7 linked regions of the Oryzias latipes genome follow. The protein of the gene in region 5 interacts with the protein of the main gene of each other region in a pairwise test. Links are inferred from orthologs where the notes say so. Each region holds a gene or a part of one and is shown on either strand. Other genes may lie near its edges.

Evidence for each region.
Region 1: the proteins of kinesin-like protein KIFC3 (region 5) and necab2 interact in binary tests that used the Homo sapiens proteins (3 or more experiments, as listed by UniProt). The two-hybrid records come from large-scale screens. The link is inferred for Oryzias latipes from reciprocal best matches to the Homo sapiens genes KIFC3 and NECAB2.
Region 2: the proteins of kinesin-like protein KIFC3 (region 5) and clip4 interact in binary tests that used the Homo sapiens proteins (3 or more experiments, as listed by UniProt). The two-hybrid records come from large-scale screens. The link is inferred for Oryzias latipes from reciprocal best matches to the Homo sapiens genes KIFC3 and CLIP4.
Region 3: the proteins of kinesin-like protein KIFC3 (region 5) and sox5 interact in binary tests that used the Homo sapiens proteins (3 or more experiments, as listed by UniProt). The two-hybrid records come from large-scale screens. The link is inferred for Oryzias latipes from reciprocal best matches to the Homo sapiens genes KIFC3 and SOX5.
Region 4: the proteins of kinesin-like protein KIFC3 (region 5) and zbtb8a interact in binary tests that used the Homo sapiens proteins (3 or more experiments, as listed by UniProt). The two-hybrid records come from large-scale screens. The link is inferred for Oryzias latipes from reciprocal best matches to the Homo sapiens genes KIFC3 and ZBTB8A.
Region 6: the proteins of kinesin-like protein KIFC3 (region 5) and med4 interact in binary tests that used the Homo sapiens proteins (3 or more experiments, as listed by UniProt). The two-hybrid records come from large-scale screens. The link is inferred for Oryzias latipes from reciprocal best matches to the Homo sapiens genes KIFC3 and MED4.
Region 7: the proteins of kinesin-like protein KIFC3 (region 5) and leng1 interact in binary tests that used the Homo sapiens proteins (3 or more experiments, as listed by UniProt). The two-hybrid records come from large-scale screens. The link is inferred for Oryzias latipes from reciprocal best matches to the Homo sapiens genes KIFC3 and LENG1.

Annotation. Positions count from the first base shown.
Region 1 is NC_019864.2:24,547,758-24,551,257, forward strand, and holds part of necab2 (N-terminal EF-hand calcium-binding protein 2), read right to left. Parts: intron 3,437-3,500; coding exon 3,345-3,436; intron 1,414-3,344; coding exon 1,385-1,413; 3' UTR 1-1,384. UniProt on the Homo sapiens protein: May act as a signaling scaffold protein that senses intracellular calcium.
Region 2 is NC_019880.2:28,155,299-28,159,408, forward strand, and holds the end of clip4 (CAP-Gly domain-containing linker protein 4), read right to left. Parts: intron 1,872-4,110; coding exon 1,517-1,871; 3' UTR 501-1,516; downstream 1-500.
Region 3 is NC_019881.2:1,329,743-1,333,242, forward strand, and holds part of sox5 (transcription factor SOX-5), read right to left. Parts: intron 2,576-3,500; coding exon 2,380-2,575; intron 1-2,379.
Region 4 is NC_019880.2:16,761,523-16,765,640, reverse strand, and holds the start of zbtb8a (zinc finger and BTB domain-containing protein 8A), read right to left. Parts: upstream 2,801-4,118; 5' UTR 2,668-2,800; coding exon 2,603-2,667; intron 2,588-2,602; exon of another isoform or gene 2,357-2,587; intron 1-2,356. Other genes in the region: gale (UDP-glucose 4-epimerase), read right to left, coding at 3,370-3,434, 4,082-4,118. UniProt on the Homo sapiens protein: May be involved in transcriptional regulation.
Region 5 is NC_019874.2:16,688,907-16,693,097, reverse strand, and holds the start of kinesin-like protein KIFC3, read right to left. Parts: upstream 2,801-4,191; 5' UTR 2,422-2,800; intron 2,223-2,421; 5' UTR 2,202-2,222; coding exon 2,103-2,201; intron 1,926-2,102; coding exon 1,829-1,925; intron 1,744-1,828; coding exon 1,610-1,743; intron 1,537-1,609; coding exon 1,275-1,536; intron 1-1,274. UniProt on the Homo sapiens protein: Minus-end microtubule-dependent motor protein. Involved in apically targeted transport. Required for zonula adherens maintenance.
Region 6 is NC_019879.2:14,003,286-14,006,425, forward strand, and holds the end of med4 (mediator of RNA polymerase II transcription subunit 4), read right to left. Parts: intron 3,116-3,140; coding exon 3,029-3,115; intron 2,949-3,028; coding exon 2,817-2,948; intron 1,081-2,816; coding exon 908-1,080; 3' UTR 501-907; downstream 1-500. UniProt on the Homo sapiens protein: Component of the Mediator complex, a coactivator involved in the regulated transcription of nearly all RNA polymerase II-dependent genes.
Region 7 is NC_019874.2:19,390,365-19,394,534, forward strand, and holds the start of leng1 (leukocyte receptor cluster member 1), read right to left. Parts: upstream 2,801-4,170; 5' UTR 2,462-2,800; coding exon 2,330-2,461; intron 1,990-2,329; coding exon 1,813-1,989; intron 736-1,812; coding exon 449-735; intron 348-448; coding exon 128-347; 3' UTR 1-127. Other genes in the region: tmc4 (transmembrane channel-like protein 4), read right to left, coding at 3,484-3,537, 3,658-3,736, 3,858-4,013.

The sequences.
Region 1 (3,500 bases), on a different chromosome or scaffold from region 5:
TGATCCAGGTGACCAGGTTAGCTGCAAAACTAGCAGGGCAGGAGCTCATGAGGAACAGGGTTGGAGACATCTGCAACTGAGTGCTTCTCTGCCTCAGCAAACAAGGTCAGGCTGCACTTCTCCAACTGTAAATCTGTGAAAATGTCCTAAAAATAGAAGATAACTGTCCAATCCTTAAGTAATGCCTGATGGATTTTTCTTTTTCACACTTTTCTTCAACTTATAAATTACGTAGGTCAAAAGTTGTCTGAGTTCTGATAAGAACTACAAGTCGGGTTGTTTTGATGTAAAACTCTGGTTCCCCCTATGTCCCCTCTGTAACAATGGGCTCCTCGTGAGTTTTCTCAAACAAGGTTAAAACAGCCTCTATTGATGACAACTTTCTATTTATGCATAAAATGTAATAAACCAGTTTTTGCCTTTTTTGTCTTTAGTTGTAATTTTTTCACAGCTCCCTGGTGTAACTATGATAGTCATCCAAACCTGTGCAGAGGTTTGTTTCATCAAGAAGCCATCATTAAAGGAAAATTTAAAATGACACCTCCTTCATTAACTTGTCCCAGCACACGACACCCACAAACTTCTGGGTTGAGTGTCATAAACTTTTGCATAACTTCTCACAATTACAATAGCCTTTCTATGGCAGAATGCACCGTCATGGTGCCTTTGACTATTACCGGTAAATAGGGCGACAGTGGCTCAGGTGGTTGAGCGGGTCGTCCAATGACCGAAGGGTTGGCGGTTAGATCCCCGCTCCCACCAGCCAAAAAAAAATGTCGTTGTGTCCTTAGCCACGCCTCTGTCAGTCTGCCTCTGTCAGTCTGCCCCAGGGCAGCTGTGGCTACAACCGTAGCTTACCATCACCAAGTATGAATGAGGAGTGAATGAATAATGGACACAATGTAAGCGCTTTGAGTGTCTTGAAAAGCGCAGATAAATCCAATCCATTAAATACTTTATTAATCAACCAGGGGAAAAGGAAATTGCTTTAAACTTGGGACTGATGTAAGAGTAATGTGGTCAACTGTAAACTGTATTGACTGCAGTGTGCTGTGACTTCCTCCTAAATAGTGACTGCTACATTAACACCTCCGTCCTCGGGGCCCCTGCTACATGACAAACTCCTCCTTCAAGGTGACTCAAAGCTACTTGAAACATGAAATCCTAAAGTAGCAAACTTTTTTTTTTTGCAAATGCACCATTTTCTTCTGTTTTTCACTGCATTTAACACCATTCATTTTTTTCACTATGTAAACATGTACTTACAAAAAGAGTCAAAGGATGTGAAGGATAAAGGGGGAGGGAGAGTTTTGGGGGTGTGAGGGGGAGTTGAGAAGAATGAGGAGTGTCCAGGAGTCTTGGCGTGTAGTTGAGTCTTCATGCTTCAGTCTCTGTTCACGCTGCACCAGGCGGCTGCACAAACACACGACAGGAAGATTTAAGGGAACCGCAGCATTGAAAGCGAACAGATTGATGATGGATTAGAGAAAATTTGGCAAAAATGGGGACAAATGCATGAAAAATGAATGTTGGAAAAGAAGAGCGTAAGCATCGGCACAATCAAGTGCGTGTGGTTTTAAATTGTTTGCTTTCAATGCCAGGTATCTTTAGAAATTGGCGTCTTTTCAGAACTTTGATGCAGTAAACAGTTTTGTGATTGTGCAAAGCTGCAGTTCTTCTATCTAGGTCTAACTTAATGATTGAAATTTGAAAGGTCCCTTTTGATGGGAGCATCTCTTTTATCACACATCATTAAACTATGCAGTAAATTTAAAAAATAGGATGAGAAATGGTTTGGCCCCTCAAATTTACCACGATTCCCTTGACACATCTAGCTGTAAAATGAATGTCTGATGTGGTGAAACCTGCTAGATCTTAAAAAGACACTTGTTCTTTAACCCTTGTGCTATCTTAGATGACCCCACCCTTGCATTGGCGTGTTCTCCCTACCATGACAAAGGTGGATAAAGATGGAAAGATTTCATGTAATCCATGGACACCAGTGAGATTCAAAAATCATTGAGGAAAAAAGGTTCAGAGCACTGTCTAGTGGGTCTAGATGACCCAACTCCCAATGTTAAAGTGCCTAGGATAGCACAAGGGTTAATATGAAAAACAAAGTCACTGAAACATAATTCTAAAGGCACTTATGTACTATGATTACAGCACACTGTAAAAACTGTATCTTATGTAAAAAAAGGTGCTTATTTTAAGAAAAAATGTCCTGGAAGAAAAATACCCTCATCAAGAAGTTTTTCAACAGCAAAATAATTTTAGTCTGAAAAAGCGCGTCTTAGTGACTAGAATTATTTTTTCTTTTCTTTTTTTTACCTCATTTTCAGATTTTTTATATATTGCTTATTTTAAAGAAAATCTGCAAATAGGGTTAAGATTGACTTTATTCTAAGGGGCCTTTTTTTCAAGAAGATTTAAATGTCACACTTTCATTTGGTTTAATCTGCTTTCACACTGCACTCTCAGGAGTGAATCAAACAGTTTTGCAGTTATAACAGTTGCCTGCTAGGGGGCAGCATTGTCCAAAATAAGTTGTCAAAGTGAAATTTCTGACATTTTTGACACTAGTAATAAGGAGAACACTGATCATCCTCCTTATGCTAGGGTTGTAAGTGCAACTGCCACCACGTGATGGGGAGGTATCAGTAGAATCTTCAAGATTTCTGCCCGCCACCCGATTTTCTTTTTTAAAATTAGTAGGCGTGGTCATGAATGTTGATGGTGGCAGGGGATGACGCCATTGCGAAATTGGGCAACAACTAAGCGGCCACAGGGCGGTGGCAGCCCGATTGCCAGCCAGCAGCAGCTCTAATTAAGCAAATGTCTATGGATGGCTGCCAGGAAGCCCGGGGGTATATAAAAAAAAGAGGGCCCTTCAGCCTGTGACTGGACTGCCACAGGACAACCTTGAAATGTGCCCGGGCAAAAAATTGTCCGGTCGCCGTAAAATTTTAACTTTTTATAAAAACCTCCCTGGCCATCGCGCTGCCACCTGCCCAATTTGCTGACAGACTTGCATTTAGGTTGCTGCGCAGTGGAATTCTGGGTTATGTGGCCATATCCTTATGGAGACATGGATCTAGTTTATTTGTGTTGCATTTTCAAAGTTCCTTTTCAAACAAAAGTTTCTTTCAGAATATACCAGTCAAATTTGAATCCTTCCTATATTTTGTTTTTGTTAAGTGAGTTTCTCTTTTCTAGAAAGTTAAAACACGAGTTTAAAAAGGTCTAAGAAGGTCTCAGTTCAGCTCAAAGAAGTATGGATTCAGCCAGTCAAAAGTCCTGATCAAATAAATTATTATCTGAACAGGATTCATTTTTGTACTCACCCGGCACGGCTACAGAGGACATGGCCTCCGGTTGGCACAGCGTGTCCACCTTTACGTGCTGAAAGGCTTTGTTGGGAGCCGACTGAAGATGTCTGAAATCACACCAAGCAGTTGGTGATGGCACATTCATTTCAGGAGTCACTCAAAAGCCTGCAA
Region 2 (4,110 bases), on a different chromosome or scaffold from region 5:
TTCCTCTTCCAGCTGCATGTAGACAATCGTTTACAATCGCTTACAGAATGTAAGTGTGAATTTAACATTTTCATCCATGAAAGGTTTTTCTCAGTTTTGGATGAGAGACACATAGTTTTTCCCTTTAAAACTGTTTCCATCTTATAAACCTTCTGTGATTTCACATAGGCTCTTTGGCCCTAAAAGCCCTCCATCACCATCAGCTGCACAATCCCATCTTCTGCACCAGTTTATTCTACAGTTATTACTGTTTACTTAACGCAAAACCTTAATATTTGACTTCTCCCTGGATCAAATAGTAACATGTAACAAGGTGCAGGATTTATTTCCAAGAAAACAAATAATAAAGTGTGCCAATCCCACTCAAATTCTAATCTGTGTGCACAGGCTACTGACAAAATAGCAATGGTTCCTTCAGACAGAGCTTCCACAGCTTTGACACCATCAGCAAAAAAAACCTGGAGAAATCCACAGGGAACAAATAAAAAAGACACAAAATAAACAGAATATAATCTTTTTTTATTCTTTTAACATATACTTTTCCTTTATCAAATGAAGAAACATATACATTTAAAAAGAAAACGTTTGAATGTTTCAGGTTATTTTTTTTACCCTCAAGTCTTTCCATACTCTTCTGACATTTTTCTGATGATGGATGACATAAATAAAGAATAGCTCTCCATGGATAGCTCTTCTATTGTTCACCATTTTTGTTGCACCGCTACTGTTAAGTGGGGGTGTTGGGGGCTGTAAGCCAGCAGGACAGCTTGAAACTAAGCTCTCAGTAACAAGGAAGGGGAGGTGATCTGAGTTGCTGAGCGTCAACGGTCCGCCCACAGCTCAGAGGTGAATTTCTAATGAACTCCTGCCGTTCTGCAGAAATTATGTCCTAGAAAACGACCCAGGTTTTTGGATTTTGGCTACAAACGGCAAAATCCTAATTAAAAAACAACAGGGAAAATAGATCTAAAGATGTTCGCAGTGGTTCTTTACAGGAACCTCCATAATCTGATTATTAGCTTTATTCCTGGACTACTGGAATCAGACTTGCGATGGTTAGGAATTATTTCTATAGTCTTGCTGATCAGATTAATGCTGCTTTGTGTTGACATGGTCTGGTCCTCATCAACCTTTTTTTCTCCACATTAAAGCAGAATATAAAACCCAGTAGTGACTCAGGTTTCTTTACATCCTCAAGCTGGAAACCAACCAGTGTGCAGTTTTTATTTAATGAAAATACAATTTAATACAATTTACTTCAACTACAGAAATATTATAACGTTAAATTTTTCTAAATCTGTCATAAGGATGATTTTATTGCAATCAGATTGAAAGTAGTGCATCTTAGTTTCTGAAGACTGTGCCAATCCTGCATACCAATTCTTCTTTGACTTTAAAGTGCTTCAACATCTTTTAGGTCTAATAAGCAAATATTCTGTGACTGAAGCCTCAGAAAGAAAAGAACCAAAGAATTGAGGAAAAAAGAGAAAACTTAAGCATCAAGTTGAAAAAGGCCTCAGCGGCCATCATTCACCAGACGTGAACCGTTAATCCCCCGATACGTGACTCTGCTGGGACGGACCAGGACACCGTAGCCGGGCCGACATGTGAAGTAACGCCGGCCGCCCACAGAGCCGTCGTTTTTACCTTTCGGGCTTCTTAGTTCCAGACCCAACCAGAGGCCCGGAGCGAAGTCAGCAGTGCCAAAGTAACGGATGAATGCCATGTCATTTGCACTGTTCAAGAAGACCTGCATGCCCAGTCTGAGGCGCACCTGTCCATCAGACAGTAAGGGGCTGGACCCTCTGCTGATCCCACCGCTGCCCCCGCTGAGGTGGTTGGAGCGCCGACGAAGAGGATTGGAGTGGTTCCTTTTGTTTTGGTGAAAGAACACACAAAAAAGACAAAAATGATGTCATAAATAATGCGCACAGAACTATAAGGCACATTGAATAAGACAAAGGAGTCCATCAGTCAGACTTTATTGATCCACCATGGACGACCCAGGCCATCCTCTCCACCCTGTTCTGGACAAACAGCTTCTTCTCTAAGAGGCTCAGACAAAAACTGTCCGATACCAGAAAGCCTTCCTACCCAATACAATAACACTTTACAATAACTCACAGTGTAATAGATAACTTTTGCACATTTTTGCCTGTACTGTTTCTAAATAGTTTTTAAATTATACCAACTTATTTTTTTACAAAAATTTTATTTATATATTATTCTACTTTCTTTTAAGATTACAATGCTAGTGTAACGCACAAGTTTCCCACATGTGGGATCACTAAAGTACTTCTGATTCTGATTATTAACGGTGTTCACAGTAACTGTAGGACAAAAAATCTACCTATATTATAAATGTTATATATATATATATATATATATATATATATATATATATATATATAATTATAAATGTTATATATATATATATATATATATATTAGGGCTGCACGATATGCGATATTGGTGATTAATATTGCGATAACGATATAATTCACGGTATATAAACAAATAGCAAAACAACCAAAAACATCATCTCCATTTCACTGCAACAGTTTACAAATGATACTCCAAATGACCCTCGTCGACGTAGGAGGCAAACATCTAACATAAAAGGGCTCATCTGATTGATCAACAACGTGAACGGGTCCTTCCGATTGGTTAAATGCATAAAGGGATTTATTTCATTTGTTCAATATTTCAAGCTGCCATGAGATTGTTTTAGCACATTTAAGGTAACCATTTATTGCGATTTTCGCTGTCTTTTGCGGTATGCATATTGCACAGCTTAATGTCGCGATAACGATAAATTTGCGGTATATTGTGCAGGCCTAAAATATATATATATATATAAATGTATGTACAGTGCTCAGCATAAACAACTACACCCCCTTTAAAAAGTACTAATGTGACCCTTGTGCTATCCTAGGCACTTTACCATTGGGAGTTGGGTCATCTAGACCCACTAGACCAGGGGTGGGCAATTCCAGGCCTCGAGGGCCGGTGTGTCTGCATGATTTCCAGATAGTCTTGCCCTACTCATGGCTGATTACCTGGTTCAGGTGTGTCCAGCCAATTAGAACATGCCAGAGTAGGGTATGCTGGAAAACATGCAGGAATGCGGCCCTCAGTGCCCACCTCTGCACTAGACAGTGCTCTGAACCTTTATTCTTCAATGATTTGTGATCTTCACTGGTGTCCATGGATTACATGAAATCTTTCCACCTTTATCCACCTTTGTCATGGTAGGGAGAACACGTCAATGGAAGGGGGGGGTCATAGGATAGCACAAGTGTGAATCATCTAGTATTTTGTATGAGCTCTGTGATATTTTAGGACAGCACCAATTCTTCTAGGCATGGAATGAACAAGTTGGCCACATATTGCAACATCTACCTTTTTCCATTCTTCAAGAAGAACCTCTTTTAGAGCCTGGATGCCGGATGGTGAGTGATTGTCAGTTGAGCAGCAGCACCCATGCAGCCCCACATCAGGACACTGCCACCACCATGCATTTTTCTTTGAAATCATCACCTTTGCGACGCCGTACAGTTTTAAAACCATTAGTTCTATTAACGGTGATCTTTGTCTCTTCACTCCAGAGTATTGAGACCCAGTAGTCTTCATCTTTTTCAGCATGGGCCGTAGCAAAATCTAGGCGTGCTTTTTAGTGCATGGGCTTTAGCAGAGGCTTCCTTTGTGGATGATAATCATGCATGCCATTCCTCTGCAGTGTAAAACAGTCACACTAGTTGGCTTTTTCTACTGCTTCAGCTAACTGCAGTGAACCTTCATGGTGATTTTCTTGAACCCTTGTCATCAGAGGACTCACCTGTCGAGATGATCGTCTCTGTAAGATGGTTGCACGTCCATCTTTCTTACAGTTTTGGATCACTTTTGCAATAGGATTTTGACTGATATGTAAAGCTTTGCTGCTGATCTTGTAGCCCTCACCTTTTTTGTGCAGATAAATAATTTCCTTTCTCAGATTTTGTGACATTTCTTTTTCATGGGGAGCCATTGCTGATAGCATGAAATGGGAAGGACTTTTCTTTATTAAAAAATGCACTTGTTTGCAATCAATGGCCACCTTTGTAGGTGTAT
Region 3 (3,500 bases), on a different chromosome or scaffold from region 5:
GTCTCTGATGAGCCACTTATGTGGCCCCTCCATCCAGTTCTGACAGCTCTGCACAGAACACGCCCCTATCCCAATCGCCTCGGGGTCTAACCCCCCCCCCCCCAACAGCTTTCGGTAACTCTTTCTTCATGTCTTTTTTATTTTTCTAACCCGTTCAGTCCAACAGCTGAGCAGATCAGATCAGGCCTCTAGTGTTGGACAGATTCCTGTCACTATAGGGGTTCATGGATCTACACACACACGACGTGTATATTTGAATAAACCCCTTCTGTATTTGAGGCTAAGCTTGATTTATGATAATTATGTTTATTTGCATTCCTTGTTGGACGGAAAAAAAGAAGAGAGAGGGAGTGGGATGTTAGAGAGGGGGGTAAGGGGTTAAGAAGGGGGAGATAGAGTGGGTGGGGGAGTCATAGCATAAGAGTGTCATAAGTGAACTACATGACTTAGCTGTCACATACACACATCAACACAACAACAAATAGTCTGCACACAACAATGTAGAGGTTTGAAGTGTATTCTTACATAGAAGACTGACCTCACAGGGCGCACCACTGACGTGAGGTTAAGCACACAGACAGGGGTGTAAAAACAATGCAATGCCCATATTTGGGCATGGGTATAGTTTGAATGAATTCTCAGAATGTACCTTCATCACACTGGATGCTCCAGCACAGGCAGGAGTCCCGTCACCCCACCCACACCCCAGAGCCAGGGGTAGACAAAAATATAGCAGCCCGGCCAATCCAGGCACCCAAGAGCCCCCCTGTCACCCTTACCAGACCCCCACCACAGAGACGGAGCCAGAGGACTACACCTTCATTTCTTTTGTTTTCATCACCTGACAAGTCAGCTGTGAAGGAATTGCTGTTGTTAACCCTCATCCCACAAAAACAATGCATAATAACAGACGTGTTTACAGCTAGCTAGGAGTCAGTAAAGTCCATCTGTAAAACACACACGCCCTGGCGCACACTTAATAACCCCAATCAACGATTGCACCATCCACCCACTCTCTACGAACAACCTCTTCTCTGCTGTCCAGCAAAGGACGACAACGCTGTGGTGTGTTACGTGGCAGAAGAACTTTTCCGTTTGCAATCTCCTGAAACGAACACTGATAAGGCCAATTGTGTATCCCCCCTCAAATCTAAATGTACCACCAGTAATCTAATCACTGCCCTCAAAAGTAACAGATAACCCGGAGCGTCCGAGTGACAACAAGTCTGCACGTCTGCATGGCTTTACAGTCAGCACCTGCTGCACTGGTGGAGTTCACCCTGGGCGGAGCCTGCAGCCTAATCAGAGGGCTAATTGCAGGATTAGCTTGTCATTACAGACAATAAACACAATTTCATTGTTTTACTGCTTACAAGCGTTTATTGTCGGTTTGGGGTAAAGGTCAACGATCGTTGTCAGCCAGCAATCGTCCCATTTCAAGGTGAGGTTAAGGCTGTTTTCCTGATCCAAGAAAAACAGCAAATTCCTCTGCAGATGTGCTGCGTTTCATGGCGTTTATTGAACAATAACATCTAAATTCCATAGTATGAGTGAGCTGAAAGTCAAACAAGAAGAGTAAAAAGTGTCACTAGCTGTTACGTCGCTAGTGTGTCATTTAGCACGTATTTACACCCAACTCTAAAGTGATTGACCAGTCCTCCAGCTACAACAAACCAGGTTTTATTTACTCAGCACCAACATTTGGCAACTCAAATTCTACAATCCCACAACTGAATTTAAGGCAACAGCTGGTACCAAAACGCAAGAACACCTAGAAATGTAGTTTTGGACTTTAGCCCTGATGACCTCCCATCATCCAACTCTTCTGTTGATTTCTTTGTCCTTTATAGAGAACCAGACTGCAACAATGTCAATCACTCAACTTGGTTTCCTCGTTGCTAAGAAGTGCTTTTATCGTCAGAGACGCTCTACCAAAGCAAACAGGTGTTTTAGATCCAGGCTGGATGGCGAATGCACCGTTTTGGATTCTTAGTCAAATGAAAATGTCTGAAACATCTTTAGGTTTCATCCCCAGAACTTCTCAATACACTTGAAAACATGGCAAACTCTAAGCGTAAACAAAGTGTGTTTCTAGCTTAAACATCCATAATTCAATGCCAGTTCTCCACTTCTATGATGATGACACCACAAGACCACAAGGTCATAGTCTGACCATTTTTATGGTGTAGAGGCAACGAGCCAATGAAGCCACAAAACGGGCAGACTGGTGTTTCTGCAGTCTGAGTTTGCCCTACACTAATATTTTAGGATGGGAAAACTCAATGGAAATTTTCCAACAGACTTCCCGGTCTAACCCCTGTTCCAAAACGTCCATTATCCGATGTTGTCCTATCAACCGTTCCAAACTCAATGTCTTACCGTGTTGGCAGGGCTTTCCAGATTTCGGTTAGAGGGCGAGCGAGGGGACACCTTGCCACAGTAGGAGGCCAGAGGGAGGTGGATGACACCGCCCAGTCCCTCGTTTTCCTCATCCTCCACTCGCTGTCTGCTGGTTGCCATGGTTACCTCTCCATCTGTCCCCCCATATGGAGAGGCTGGTCGCTTGGAAGACATCCTGGAAAAGGAGTAGGAGATAGAAGGCAAGAGAGAGGAAGGAAAAAACACACAGGGAGAAAAATGAGCAATATTTAAAAGATGATATGGTAAGTTGACATCTGGACGGCTGAGGCTGTGGCAGCAAGAGGAGGGCCAGATATGTGGGGATGGAACCGGTTTCCCAAAAGGAGTTCACCAGTGGCCTTTCCCTGGTACCAGACTGGTATATGGGTACTATTTCTGTGTGTTGTGTTGTACTGTTGGCTCACAGCATGGCGGAAACCTGTCTGCAGTCTTCTGCGAAGGTTTGCATTGCCATCCCAGACTGGTATGGACTTGATCCAGATGGTACAAGTCTCATAATCCAACATCAGACATGTTGGGTCAAATTTTGATCCCACGGTTGGTTTTAGGACTCTTGATCATGAACACTTGTCTTATTTGTGATCGGTAACACAGCAACGTTTTCTAAAGCAACCTTCTCACCGCCTGACGCGGTTCAAGTGACCACACGATGAACCGCGAACATAAATGCATGTAAATGTGCATGTCGGGATTCCGCGTTCAAAACTACGACCGTTTTCAGGGTCTGCGTACAAAACGCATGGCCACTGAACGCACGTTGACAGTTAAACCAGGACGAACTTTGACCAACCAGTGGTGACGTATCGATGACGTCCCCTTTATTCCACAGAGTTGCCAACTGTTTGAAAATTGAACATGAAGGAGAATTTTATAAATGTGGTTTGTGTCCGGCCAGAAGTCTTTGACACCAAGTCTTTCATATATTGGAATGGAGAGGTGAAAGAAAAAGCCTGGAGCAAGATTCACGAGATTTGCACCAAACCTACTCCAACTGTAGGTGGCAGACATGGGAAAAACAAAAAGCTAGTCCAGTGTGAACACCATGGGAACCTGCATTTAGTGCGTTCTTGAACATGCGT
Region 4 (4,118 bases), on a different chromosome or scaffold from region 5:
GCAGAGACACTCTGGCGATGCAGCGCTAGACGTTTTTTATGCCTCGACTTTGATGTCCGACCATTCCTTCTTTATTTCGGCCACGGTCCGAGGTTGTGAGGCTACAGCATTTGGCGTCTGCCACCGTTTGCCACTCAAGTGCCTTTTTGGCATTAGTAATGCCCACACTGTGCCCTCCAAACAACATTTCCTCCTCTTTTCCACTTCACCAACGATAACTTCTACTTCACATTGAGTGAAGTTACGTTTTTTTTCATTTCCTCTCTGTGTTTGCCATGATTTCGCAATCCATGAATATTCATTTGTGGGCGTTTCGCGGACTATTTATGGGCAACTATGGGCGTGTCATGAAGCCGCAAAAGCTGCGCTGCATTTAGAATTGATTGTGATTTATTAAGGGAAAGATGCGTAGGATGTGCGTGCGCACGGTTTTATAAATCTGAATATTTCTGTGCGTACGCACGTCCTATGTTTCATCTGTACGCCACTTCTGACGCAAATCCTACGCAAAGTTTTATAAATGAGGCCCCAGGTTATGTTATGAGCATGAGTTGCCATGGCAACTTGACATACCCTGAAACATACCTCCATTTCTGGAACAGATTATCAACTTCCTTAGCCTCAAACTTACCGTGGGAGCTAGCATAACCTGCTTTCTGGAATACCCCCCAGGACTGCATATTCAGACTACGCCATGTTTGCAAATATATCATTTGTGGCCACAAATTAGTATTTTGTACACACAAATAAGCCTTTTGTGGTCACAAATTAGCATTTTGTGGATACAAATTAGTAATTTATGAGCATTTTGTAGTCACAACTTAGTATTTTAAAAGGCACGGGGGAAATGTACAGAGCTCTAAATGAAACAAAATTTTTACTCATTTAAAAAATTGTAACCATGAATTAGTATTTTGTGTAGACAAATGACCATTTTATTATTTTTTTACATTTTAGTACAAACAAATGAGTATTTCAGTATCTTCAAGTTCCAATACTAACTTGTGCCCAAAAAATACAAATTCATTGCCTCAAAATTCTAACTTGTGCGCACAAAATGCTAATTTGTGGGCCAAAAAAAATGCTACTTTGTGTGTAGAAAATACTAATTTATGGCCAAAAATTAATATTAGCAAATAAAATAGTATTTTAGCATCTTCAAGTTACATTACTAATTTGTGGCCACAAAATACAAATATTTGGCCACAAAATGCTAATTTCCCCCTTAAAACTCTTATTTGTCCCCATGAAATACTATTCTGTAGCCACTAAATGCTAATTTGTGCAAAAAAAAACTAAAAATACATGTGAGGGAACCATTTATTTATTTTTGTAATGTCATTTCCAAGGCTCCGTTATTTCGTGGCCACAAATGAATATTTAACTATAATTTTGTAGGAAAAACTAGTGGCCAAAAATTAGTGTGCACAAATTTGTGTACACTAATTGGCATAATGTGTGCACAAATGTGTATTTATTGCACAGAAATTTGTATTTTAAAGCCATATTTTGTTAGCATTTTGTGCACACATGTATTTTTCCCACAGAATGTTGTTTTTGTAGGCCACAAATTAGTAGAAGGAACTGATCCTCAAATTTGTGCACAAAATATAAATTTGCGGGTTCAGGGCTCCATAGAAATGTCAGTAATTAAGTAGCTATTAAAAAACAAGCATAAGATGTCCTAAAGTTCTACTCTGGCAGCATCTTTGTGCAGTGGATCATGTTGAAGGAAGACCGGCCCACCGTTCTGCGCTCTGATTGGCTGGGTGATCCATCAATCAGGAAATGCTTTATAATGGATTACACCCGACTCTATCAGGAAGGGCGGGTAACAAACCCTTTATTTAACCCTGTTGGTTAAATGAATGATGAATCAAATATACTGTACAGTTATAAATAAAGATTTCTGCAGCTAATAGAAGCCATTAAAAAAAACAACGAAAGGCATACTAATAATTTGCCTAAAGCTCATATTTGAAAGACAGACTACTTTATAAAAACCCAGCAAGTCATTTTTCCTGTCTGGACTGACTTGATGGATTTAAATGCGTCCTTCATTATCGCGATACGCCTCGAAAAGCTCCGCAGCGCCCGATAACCCTCGGCGAAACACCCGCCTGAAACACTCCGGTACTTCAAATCACACTCAGAACCGAGTCTCGTGTGTTAATCGAGCAATTTCCCCTTCGTTCGGCCGCGCGCGACCTCCAAACGGACACGAGAACGCTGCAGTCCTACGAGAGGAAAGCGGGTAGCGGCGATCCGGAGCAGCCCCGTCTGTCCTGGAGCGACGCCCACTTCAGGCTCCAGCCAGCACACAATGGAAAAAAAAGAAAAAAGAAAAGACACCGACCTCCTCCAGCGGCGAAGCACGCCGCGAGCTCAGATAAACATGTCCACACCACGAATCAGTTTGATGAAACAAACGCCCGTTTCCATCCGCGAGAGGCGCCCCCACTCCTCTCCGGAGGTCCGGAGCACAGCGAGCAGCTTTCGCCTGCTGCCCGGAGCGAGCGACGCCTTCGCAGGCGCGAGGTGTCGGCAAGGACCCGCTGACGCCCTGATATATATACCCCGTCAGAAAAGCATCGATACTCACTGGTGACTGGATTCACCCGCCGCCCGGCACACTCTACTTGCCCCTGCATCTACCTCTATATCCATTTTTTTTATTTAAATGATTATTTGTGCCTTTTCTGACCCTCCCCCTCCGCTTTTTATTTCTCCCCGTCCAGGGTCCACAGCCAGGCACTTCCTGCTCAGCCCTAAAGACCGAAACCCGGTCAGAGAGACTGGAGCTCCGTGCTGACGTGGGTGTTTATTAACAGGGTGCCCGAGGGTTCAGGGAGCCATTTAAAGCCCCAGTGCCTTTTTACAGGAACAGCACGTACCTCAGCCTAAAAACGACCATACCCACTCGAGATCACGCAGGAATTCATGCTCACCTTACCATGATTTCCTCCAGTATCCTCTTATTACAACATATTTCTTTCTCCATCCGTATGAAAAAAAAAAAACCCCACAAAAAATAAAAAAATACAGCACCAATAATCTTAAAGAATATGTCCTTAGGGGTTTTTCCAATTAATACATTTCAAAAGAAAGCACAATTTTACTGTTAGAAAATTATTTTATTCATCATTTTTATGGCTTCCATAATTATAAAGTTAAGAAAAGAATCCCTGCTGTTCAGAAACAACCAAATAAAGACAAAAAATCTGTTGAATAGATTTTAGTTACAAATTCCAAAAATAATAGAAAGAAATTCAAATTTGAGGCCTTATGTTGCATTTATGACATGACAAAAAAATAGTATCTGCTTTGGTGGATTAACACAAAATAATCAATAACACCCCCCAGCATTCATCAAGAGCTGGTGCTCTTGGAAAATCCAGTGGGGTTCATGGACTGCCAGCGCCACAGATCTGCACCTGAATGCAAATGAGGAAGAAAAAATAAAGATGGCACAGATTATTGAAAAATGATCGCAGCTAATTGAATGTATTTTCTGCAGATTATCAGACTGCACGGTGTGATGGAGCCATTGACTGTATATGAGAACTGGACTGAGGTACCCATCCCTGCTTGGGTTCTAAACAGGAAGTACCTGCTGACTCCAAGAAGCCATAGACTTCTATAGTAAAATAAAGTAGCTATTACTCAGTCATTATATCTGGCAGAATAACCATTTTTGCCCTAAAACCTTTTTTTAACATGTTCTTGCTAATCCTATTTTTTCTGTAGTTATTTAAGTTTTAAACTGGGCAATCAGATGACTCAGAGGTCTCAGATTGAACGTTTGATTGACAGATTCTCCCGAGCCCACTTTCAAGTGGTAGGGGTGTGGCCTCTCAACAAGCTTTCTCCTGATTGGCCAGAATGGTTTGCCATAGAAATGATCACTCAGATCGACTCGGACCATCACTGCTTACTGATGTTATCTGGCTCCAACGTGCCAGTGTCCGTGTCACGAAAAATTGAATCAACCTTTTTTCACTGGAGCCAGAAGTAAGTCACTTTCTATGAGTGACGTCACACTCCGTCCAGTTTTAATTTAGAGTCAATAAGTGGAGCTTACACATCCTCTCCATGTCAAATTCAGCCTTCCATCCCAG
Region 5 (4,191 bases):
GGCAAAAGACAAAAACTTCTTTTTACACACATCCTAGGTGAAAATTTATTTTAAAGTTCAAAGCTTTGAGATCCCTTTTATAATTTGCCAAATCAAACTTGAAAGCTTGCAAGCAGACAAATGGGAATTGAATTATGTCTAAGCACAAAGCCTAAATAAATCAGAGACAATGTATGTGCATGGATAAAATACTTCAATATCTGAAAAAAGAAAGAAAATGGATGAGAACGTTTATTTCATCAAAAAGAAAATGTCTAAATGTTAAAAAGAAATAAATTATTGAACAAATTGCCCTTTCTAACTGCACATTGTTTTGCAGAGTCACGCTGGTCATCACCCCTGAAAACAATCCAAATCTTGTTTTAGAAGGTCTTGAACTAAAACTATTCTTAGCTGCACGTGTAAGTGCATCTGCTGCATAGAAAACAGGACTCAGAGACATGTTTAATTCATCTCAGGGAAAAGCACAGTCACAGTGTGCCGAATATTCTCATCACACTTTCATGAATCCTTATACAGCTGTGGGAATCTCAGCTTGAATGTTCCCACAGAAATGTCTTTTAGGGGTCCTTATGTATGCAATCAAACACATTACCATGCCACCTTGAGGGTGCATCATGTCAGCATTCAGAGACCTGTCACAGACCTCCTGCACCTGGGTAACAAGATTACTACAAGAAAAGTAAACAGCCATGCTCTAGTTTTGTTGATAGTTTCCACTTCGGGGTCAAGTCTGGTCAAATGTGACACAGAACAGAACAAACATGAAACTTTGAGGTCCACAGGGCTGTGCAGTGTTAGCCTGCTGTCTGTCTGTGACATCAGAAAGCTAAATGAAACCACCCTAAGCAGTTTGCTCTGCAGCTGATTCAATTTGTCAATCAAAGGGTGAACAGTGTGTTCCCAGCTCTAAACTAAGCAAAAATAAAAGCAAGAATAACTAGTATGCACGATTTCACCAATACTCCATGCAGTTTCCATACAAAATGTTTTAAGCCTTTAGAGACTTTGTCTGCTCACATTTTTAAGCTGGACTGCAACGTGCATGACTCTCCATCACTGTTTCTATTGCATGAAATTGTTAATATTCATCTATTAAAACAGCAGAAGACATTTTTTGTTCTTTTTTTTATCTGTGAGATTATTATGATAACCAGAAATCTGTGTTCGGGGCCTCGCTAATCTGAGTGCCATTTCTAAGGCAGCTGCTTAACATCTACTTTCTCACCTCTTTTTGCTCCCCACCTTCATTTTTCTCACCCCCCCTCTCTTACCCTCACTTAAAGGGCTGGGGCTCTGCTGCTGGCTGACAGCCTCCTCCAGGCTGCTTATGATGTTGTTCTTGTCTCGGAGGCGCTGGCGATACGAGGACCGTAGGGCCTTCATCTGACGTCTGTGCTGAACACGGTGCCTCTTCAGCTGAACTCGGTATTGATCAGCTTGCTGCTGCAGCTGCTGGAAATGGGAGTACTGCTCCAAAAAACTCAGCAAGTGGGACATCACGGCCACCAGGGGAGACTCCGTCAGCGATGTGGTCTAGAGGCAGGCAAATAAAGTTGAACAGGAATCCAGAAAGCTGAGATTATAGAGCTAACACACGCTTCAGTACCTGAAGCGGGGGGGTCCTCCTCTTCTCAGCCTCTTGCTTGAAAGACAAAAAGGCAGCTAGAGGAGTACACGCCGGTTTGACCAAGTCATCCTCCTCATCCTCATCGCTCAGTTCATCACCGTCACTGCTGCTGCCTGCACAACATCAAATGAACAAAGAACAATGCAGCCAATAAACTCAAAAAGTAAAAGAAATGTACATTTTTTCTATTTGACTCACTTGATTCACTTAAATGAGCACAAGCTTTCTTTCCCATTCTGGGGGTGTGGCCATCACTTCTCTTGCTCCTTGTTTCCATGGTAACAGGTCCTGGCTCCTGAGCACATCATTGCATGCAAGGGTCAACGGCAACAGAGACACCCAAAATAAGCTTTGCAAACACAGACATGCACATGCTTGCAAACAATTGCAGTTTTCTGTAAGGATGCCAGCCATGTAAACAAGAAATAAATGAAAATAAACGTTTTTATTTTAAAGCTGACATTACACATACGTCTGGGGAAGCATCGTGTTCCCCCTGCAAGGTTTCCTCCTCCTCTTTTTTAAAGACGGTGTAGAAGATGTAGACTAAAAGGGAGTAAAAGGCATACATCTTCACGCTGTCCAGTCTCACCTGTCAACGACAAACCTTTTAGAACAATAAAGAGGCACAACTGTCACACTTGTGTCAAATGTCTCGGTAAGAAATGCAGTGGTTATAAAATACAGGCTGACAATGAATCATGACAGCTCAAGAGTTCACTCTGGTTTAAAAACTGTTTTCGGTTTTTAGTCACCTCCAGAATTTGCTTTCTTCTTTAAGTTTTTTTTACCTTAAATGATGTCTTTTGTTCGGTGGCAGTCAGTCCATGCAGCCATTCTGAGGTTGCTGCCACGCTCCATCTGTGGCGTTAGGTTTGCAGCCGTTGTTCTCAGAGCTGCAGCAGCATCGCTGCACTGCTCCGTTTATTCCATATCCTCTCTCCTCCCTCTGTTCCTTGTCTCCACACTGCTCCATCCACAGGCAGCAGCTGCAGGGAGCATGCTCAGTGCGGTTTCCTCGTACTGCTGCAGGGATGTTGTGATAGATTAGACTGACATGGAGACCGACGGAGGTGAAGAAATGAAGCTGATACCACAGCAAGAGCCTGGTGATGGATGAAAAGCAGCAAGTCTTAAATCTTCCTAAAAAGCAAAATGCAACATAAAATAATCATAAAAACAATGTATTTCTTTACCATTGGCATTTACCAAAATCTACTCAAAATATCCAAATTATTTTTTTGTTTGCTTTGTTCTTACTCTTGATTAAGGTTGTGTTGGATTTGTTTTATATTAACAGTAGAACAAAAAAAATAGCAAAAGATCAAGTAGGAATCTGAAAACTCAAACATGTTTGCTGAAGTGAAAAGCATCAAAGATCAGCTTTGAGGTTTAACAGAACTATTTCCAAAAGCTGGAGCAGAGCCAGAGATACTTGCTGATTTACTGCAATGAACCAAAGGAGGAATTTGTCCGCATTCACACTCCTGAAATCCTCAGAGACCATCTGCAGCATCCCCTCCAATCATCTGTAAAAAGAATATCGAGGGCCCTACAAGACAAGGGCTCTAGTGGGGATGATAAAGAACTAAACTAATTTAAGCTGTGGTAAGTTAAAAGGTTAGATCACTGGGTTTAAGCAGAATGTTGGTGAATAAACATGTCAAACAGCTGAAAAAAATGCTGTGTTCAGTGATTATGCTGAGACTGCAGAGCAAAAGTTTCAGCTTTAATAAGCAGGAAATAAAATTACCACAAAGAAATGTGCAACGCTTCCTGTGCCACTTTATTTGGAATGAAATATTTGACATTTAAGTCAACACACAAGTCATTTGTTCAAAGCAATCCAACTAAAATTTATTAGTGTTTTCCCTGCTGAATCATCTCAAAGCTAATGTGTTTGCTCACAGGTTTCTCACTTCCTGCTTTCTATTAATCCATAAACACTGCAAAATGTAAACCTTAAGAAAGGAAAAAAAGGCCCTTGTTTCAATAAAAAAAGTTGTGTAATACACCACGGATTCTTTTGCAGACTCTTTTGATGGGATTCTATGTAGTCCTAATTGAATTGTACTCTTCCAATTATGTGTTTTGCTGGTGATTCTTCATTCTTCAAGGTCTTATGAAGTGGTCACCCTGGTAACTGAGGTGTAATCAGCCACTCCACCAATCTGGAGGTGGTTCATACTCTGTGGTTTTCTGCCTGTTTATGACATATGATTTTTTCTCTTCCTTTTGTGCTGACTAAGGGGTTCACCTTACCTGTCAAGGATCATCATCCTGCTGTAATGCCTCTTTATCATTACAGTTAGCATTTCCTTTACATTAATAAACCCTTGTTGAATTCTACTAATTGGCACATCATTAAATGTTTAGCTTATGTCTTAATTTTGGGAAAATGTTCACCATTTTTAAGACAAAGGAGATTAAAGTTCCTCGGTTATTTGTTGTGTAAAAATGTCCCTTCATGGCTAACAGAAAAATTGCAAACCCCCTAATTTGTGACGTTATCAAATAGTTAAATATTTGGTATTAAAGGATTTTCTGAATAAATGTTAGAC
Region 6 (3,140 bases), on a different chromosome or scaffold from region 5:
TTCAAAAGTTAGCATGTGTATAAACATTGATCATTTTCCCATTAATACATTTGGTTAGTTTAACTAACTCAAATAGCTTCAGACAAATCTTTGTCTGACATACTAATGTTTCTGATTTACAAGGAGTTCTTGAAGGCAGCATCGTATTGCAAACAGCGTCACTGCTAGTGTGACCATTTACCCTTCATACATTTTTTTTAAAATAGTTATGATTTATCATGGAAATATTTTTTATACCAATGATCTAAAAAAATACTTGTATTTTAATTATTTCATAAAATGCTGCTGCACTTTTTGGGGAGGTTGATGGTTAATACCCTTTAAATGAAACCTTTGTCATTAAGCTTGTTTTGAATCACAGTGCTTCTGTCTGAAGCACAGAAGTACTCCTTACATCTGAATTAACATCTAAATAAAGATAAAATTGTCCTCAAATAAAATGTAGCAATTGATGCTGTAACATTTTTACTTTTTCCAAAACAAAACACAAAAAGCAAAGACAAGTTTTAACCAAAAGTATTTATTTACAATGTTAAGTATATACAAAAGTATTTACACAACATCAACTGAAAGTTTTACTTTATACTTCAATGACTGTTTTCTGCCACAGAAGAGCAAACCAAGAATTTTAAAGCTTTTTTTTCCATTTGCCCAGTTAGTAATTCATGCAAAACACAGGAAATGGCTCACACCATCTCCATCTATCAGATACAGGTGCTTGACAAAAATAAAAAGCTAAAAAGGCATGAAAGCAAACTGATTTCTTCCAGGTCTGACAAACCAGAGGAAATACCAGTTCGAACAGGAAAAAGGGAACTGAAGCAAGTTTTTACTCAGATTATCAACAAACACATCTCGCTGGGTCTGTCAATGTTTGTGTAATGCCAGTACTCAGGAAAACAGTGTTTCAGTCTGAATCGCTACTGCTGCTGGAGGAATCTGTTGACATGGCTTCAACATCATCTTCGTTCTCCTTGTTGTGGCCTGGAGGCTCCAGGCTGAAATCGTTGCCGTGGTGAGGAGGCAGCATCCCTGCAGAGACGTCCGAGGACTGCCAGGGGTAGTGAGGGGTCAAGATGTCTGAAGAAACACAACACAAAAGGATTGTTTTTCCAAATGTCAAGCCTGTAAAGGACCACCTCAGAGAGGTATTCCTGAAAGCAATGTTAACTTAACCTGACTTTGACCCTGAACTCTCGCTTAAGTAGGCCTAAACTTGCTTACTTTGGGTTTGTCGGTTCCAAAACACCAGGTATGAGTTTGGTTAATTAACCTCCTCCCGGTAACCCTGAGTTAACGCGCGTACAAAGCGAGAACAAGGTATTTTCAATGGATAGAAAAGTGAGTGCCTGTGGTAATTGGAGCACTCGGGGCAGTAACCCCCAAGCTGGAGGAGTGGCTACCACAGATACCTGGAAAGACCTCAGACCTTTCAGTTCAGAAAAGCGCAGTGCTAGGAACAGCTAAGATACTGGGCAGGACCCCCAAGCTCCCAGGCCTCTGGTAGAGGACCTGAAATTGGAGGAGAAACCACCCGGAGGGTGAGAGGGGCGTTTATTTATTTATTTATTTCAATTTAATGTTTTTCCATCCTGATTTATTGTATTTCTTGAATTCTTATATGTCTAAGTTTGAGCCTCCAGATATTCTCATTTGAAGAACATTAACATGAATTATCTAGTGTGGATTCACACTATGAAGCCTGAATTCAGTTATTATGTACACCAACTTTCATTTTTGATCTTACAACGATATTCAGCACAATGGATTTAGTCATTCTCCTCTCCCTCCCTCTCAATCATGGTGCAGAAAAAAATAAACATACCAGGATAAAATAACTAGGCAAAACAGAGTAAATCAGCTAGACAACAAAATACATTTAGACAAATCCCCACACTTAAATCCCAATACATCCAGACAGGCAAAGGGAATGGTATCCCACAATTCCTTGCGCTGCAGCGCAACTGGACCAAAGTTACACCTACTTAATTGAATTAGTTTGAACGAAAGTAAAATAACTGTCTGATAACTATGTTTTATTTTTAAGTTGACTGAACTTAAAAAAATGATTTATTTTAACTGAAGCAAACAATTAAGTTAGATCAACATAAAAAAGTTTATCTTTCCAACATCCATTCGTGTTTTCGGAAAAGTCCCGCCCCTTTAACTGTCTCCACCAATCATTCATTGGAGGCTTAATCAGATGTCATCAGTCTGACCAATCATCATTGTTTTTTTTTTTTTTTGCATTTTGTACTAAAATAGATAACTGTTTGTGTTAAGTTTTCTTATTCAAACAACTTAAATTCAAAATTTTACAGTTAGCATTAAATAGTGAATAAAATGATTTAATGTTGATCAATTTTTATTTTACAGACAGACTTTTTCTTAATTGTATTCCTTGTCTTCAAATGTGGAATTCAGTCATTTTAGTTCAAATGTATTTGACCCTCACACTGTTTCACCTCACCAAATCTGGCCCTCCTTGCAAAATGTTGGACACCCCTGGTCTATGATAACTGAAGCGACCGAGGGTGACATCACCCATAGAAAATGGTTTACTTCTGGTTCCAACCAAGTGACGTCAATCCAGTCGCTATTTTTTTCCTGATGCAAACACCACCATGTTGGAACCAGTCAAAATTTCTATTGTGACCACTCTCAATAATCGTGAGTGGAATTGTTGAAATTGAATAATTTGCAATAAAGAAAAAATATCCTGAAAACAATTAAAATTGCTTCCTGTTTGAAATTAAAACAGAAGTTAAAACATTTTAATCGGAGGATCAGCTGTCTTGCAGGGTCAGAGGTCATACCTGGTAACCGTCCAGCAGCCAGAGCGTCTCCTGGCAGGTGTCCGTTCACACCATTGCTGGGCAGGTTTGCCATGTGTCCGAGGATCCCACTGCGCATTTCCAGGTCAGTTGGATAAGGTCGGCGTGGATCTCCTGGGAACCGAATAGCGAATAGCAGTTAAAACAGGACTTGTGCAAAAGGTTAGCTTTTGCTGCAGTGCAGAGTTTAATACCTGGAACCCAGTTCAGCGGAGCACACACAGCGTTACTGGCGCTGATTCTGTGAGCATACTTTATGATTTCCTCTGATGAGACACTTCCTGCAAAAAAGTTAAAAAAACAATT
Region 7 (4,170 bases), about 2.7 Mb from region 5:
CTGCTGTTGGACATGACCTCTAGTTCCTGCAAGACTTTCCTTTTATGGACAGAACAGGACAAATGAAAAAAAAAAAGTCATAGGGAATCCTAACCATCTGATTGTAAAATGTTCAGAATAATGAAACTCAAGATTTGAGAATCTCATCTCTCCAGCTCTCTCTGTCTCGCCTCTGTCGTTTTCGGGCAATTTCTGGGAAGTAAGCGTTGTTGTAAGGCCGGTCCCTGTCGTCCATTTCTCGCGTTGCATCCTTCCTTTTCCCACTCCTCTGCTCAAGCAAAGCCTGGGCTCTTCTCCTTTCTTCAGCTTCCCTTTGTAAGCGTTCAGCACGCAATCTTTCCATGGAGCTGAAAAGGCAAAAAAAAAACAGAAAACACCATAAAAAAACAGTGTTATTATGTAATCAACATCATTAGAAGGACATTCAAGCAACCAAAGTCTTTCTTACCTTTCCCCACTGCTCCTCTTTTCTCCCTTGTCTCCTCTTTCCTTTTTCTTGCTCTTGTGGTGCCTCCTTTCACTTTCCCCCAATGCTTTCTTCATATCTTTCAAAGGATCCAAACTTTCCTTCAGCCTGCGGTCTTTCTTCGCCTTTTCCTCTTCAATTATGCCCTTCCTCTTTTCCGATTCTTCTTCTTCTTTTTCTGCGCTGCTTTGCATGTACCATGGAGTCACCTCAGTGCCTGGTTGGGGGCCTAAAGAAACAAGCAGGCCGATGGCTCGCTCTTGCTTCTCCTGGACAAACCAGAGTAGCTATGATCAATATTTAAAATATTCCATTTCAAATAATTGTATTGGAGAATAAAAAAAACTGTAATAAACTCCATTGCCTTTTCATGCAAATTGTTCTTTGTGTCATTTTTCCTTCTCTAATAGATGACTGAACATTGTTGCATAAAAGTAGAATCAGAACTTCCTGGTAAAATAAAAATCCTGACAGAGTCTGATGAGATCCAGCTGCACGTTTTTGCCACTGTAGAATAAGAAACCACAGCAAACCAAGTGTATTAGGTGGGGAAAAGTGGATGTTTACCTTTTTAAATTAGCATTACTGATTTAAAAATCAACAAAAAGCTGCAGAGTGCTACTCATTTGCAACTTGTAGATGAGCAACCTGTTTTTTTTCTTTTGAGTACAGTGGTCCCTCGCTATATCTTTCACGCTCTCGCTGATTTTTTTCATATTTCTTTTCATTGATTTCTTTTAACAGCTCAATTTGTTCTGCATCCTGATTGGTAGTAGACTTTGTCAAGTACTTTCCTCCAAGCGGTGTCTCCTGTACAGAATGCGTTTAGCTTGCCAAATATCTAAATCTTCAACCACAAACAGATTTTTTTGTTTTATTCTATAATACATGACTTATTTTACTACAAATGTTTGAACTTTAAGAGTTTAAACATGAAACAAAGTTCCGTTTTACAGCCTTAAAACATCTCGAATTCTACTTTGTGGATTTCACCTGATGTGGGTTATTTTTAGAAGATAACTCCCGTGATAAACAAGGGAAAACTAACTGTCAAGCAAATGCAGTCTGGTTGTTAAAAGTGTTCATTCTTTGAATGCAGAATTAGAATGAGAGTTTCAAACATGAAAAACACAATAGTTATAGTATTTTATGCACACAAACAAAAATAGATGTTAATCTGTGCTGGATCAGACAATCAATTTCCTGGGATTTGTACACCATTCCTCTCCTACAACAAATGAAAAGAAAAAATCCATAAAATGGACTTCCTAAATTATTTTTAGTGAGTGTTTACTCAGATAAACCTGTAATTTTCAGAATATAAACAGAAGTAGCAGCACAATCACCGTTTCCTCCTTCTTCTCTTTGAGATACTCTTCATTCCCCTTCTTATCTGAAGACTCCTCCAAAGGAAAAAGATTGAGATGCTCCACATGTCCTCCGCTTTGACTCCCATCATCTCCTGTGCTTTCCACTGATTGGAGACCAGCTCGGGCCTTTCTTCTCAGATATTCTGTTCGCGCCTGTGGAAACAAACCATGACAATTTTTGCATGTTATGAAGTTTGAATCTATTTCAGATTATCAACACAATAAAAAATAAACATCAGCTCCATATTAGCGATGGAACAACACACTTTCTTAATGATAGTGTTCAAACCTCAATTTTGTATATGATTTGTGAATAACAACCCCCCAAAAGGAAAGGAAAAAAATACATATAATCTACTCAGTTGCAGAGGTTTCCAACTCATTTTCAGCTCAGAACCAGCTAAACTGTCACGTGATCTGTTAACGTATACTCTGCCAGCACGAAACACAGACAGATGTAAACACAAAAAACGAACGGTAAAACTGAACATACTTCTTGCTCCGCGCGCTCCACGCGGCGTTTAGCCTCGCGCTCCTCTTCTGCAGCCTGGGCTTCGTCCCTTCGCACGCGCGCTACATTGTCTTTATTGCGGACATGCCAGCTTTTCTTCGGAAGGATATTCATGATGGTGTTACTGTTAGCAGTTAGCTAACTCAAAATTTAGAGGAAGAACAGACCCGAGCCTTTGATCTACAACAATATGGAACGCGAATCAGCCAGGTGACTGAGTCTGATATGATTAGTAAAGCAGAAATTAGCAAAAAATCTGCGCAATTGTCTAGATTTTAAAACATTAGCTTACATTTTTTCTACATTAAGTTAGCATTCATGACGGCAAACCTGGCTCGTTAAAAGCACAGTATTATTTTTTTTAATATCCTAAGGTCTAACAACAAACAAATCTGTCCGACTTTTTGGAGAGTTCATCTATTCCAGGTTTGCTGTGGTCCACCGGAAGTAGTAGACCCAAACAGGAAGTAAACAAAAAAAGTTACAACTCTTGAAGCAATTACAAAGAAGAATCGTTAGATGGAGCTGGAGCGAGCGCCAACTGGTTTATTCAAAAGAAATAAATGTAATGGTCATAAGCGAGCAAGACTAAACTTTAAAAAGCAATAAAAAAAAAAAAAAACAACAGCAAACGAAGGACTTCTCATTAAAAAAATACAAATAAATCACAACATTTAAAGAAAAGAATATAAAAAGTTTGAATACATACCGTAGTCTCAAAAGGGTCAAAAATAAACAATTATTTTTGGTTGCTCTCGTCTTAACAAAAACACTGTCCAACTGTCTTGTTTTTTTAAAACAGTATTAGAGGTTCAATTTTTTTACATGCATTTCTTTGCAAAGTCTATATCCAAAAATGATCAAAACACCTGTTTAAATGATCACTTTTAAAGTGCTTAAAGAACAGTGATGTTTAATGTGCAACATTTTTAACATTTTATTTTGAAAGAATCTGGTGTAATTTCACTATGTATATATAATATGAAGCTTTTTTTTTCTTTTTAATAAACATCCTTTCTTTATGACATCGTCTCATGTTACTGTACTGCAGAGACTAAACATTGTCCAGAGGCTGTTTAGTCTTGTAGTGGTAGATACAGTATATATATGTATCTATCAAATGGTATCTTGGTCATCTACCGACTTAGTTCCTCAATCTGCTTGACTAAGAACTGCTTATCCCGGCTCTCCTGTAAAAACAAAAAAGACCAGACCCTGTATTAGTTAAAGTAAAAAAGGAAATATTGAAAAAAATCTTTGTTAACTCATGGCCAATTCTTAGTATACTGCTTTAGATACCATCAACTTACCCGTTTGAGCTGCAGTCTTAGCAGTCCAACACTTTTCCCATAGATGGAGAACAAAGCTATGACGTAGCACATCACCAAACTATGACGGAGAAACAAGTCAGCTGGTAAAGAATCAACTGGCATTCAAAGAAAAATATCATCTATATCTGCACAGTGCAAGACAGTTCAATGATTTTCATGTAAAATGAAAATGGATTTACCCCGATAATGAAAACAGGGGGATTGTAAACGCCTGTGAGCCAATGAAGAAAAGAAACTCTTGTGTGGCTGCAGAGAGGTTGTAGAAAGATGTCGGTATAATCAACCACATGTTGTCAGAGAACCGGAAAGGCCCACATCCCCGAGAAGGATGGATCCTGTATGGACAGACACGGAACGTCACTCAGACATAATTTCATAAATCTCTACAAAGCCATCGCCTTTTTTGTATTGCGACAAATTGGCCAAATTTTGACTTTCTGACCAGTAGGAAAAATAATTGTATTATTTATGTTACCAAGAAACATCCACACT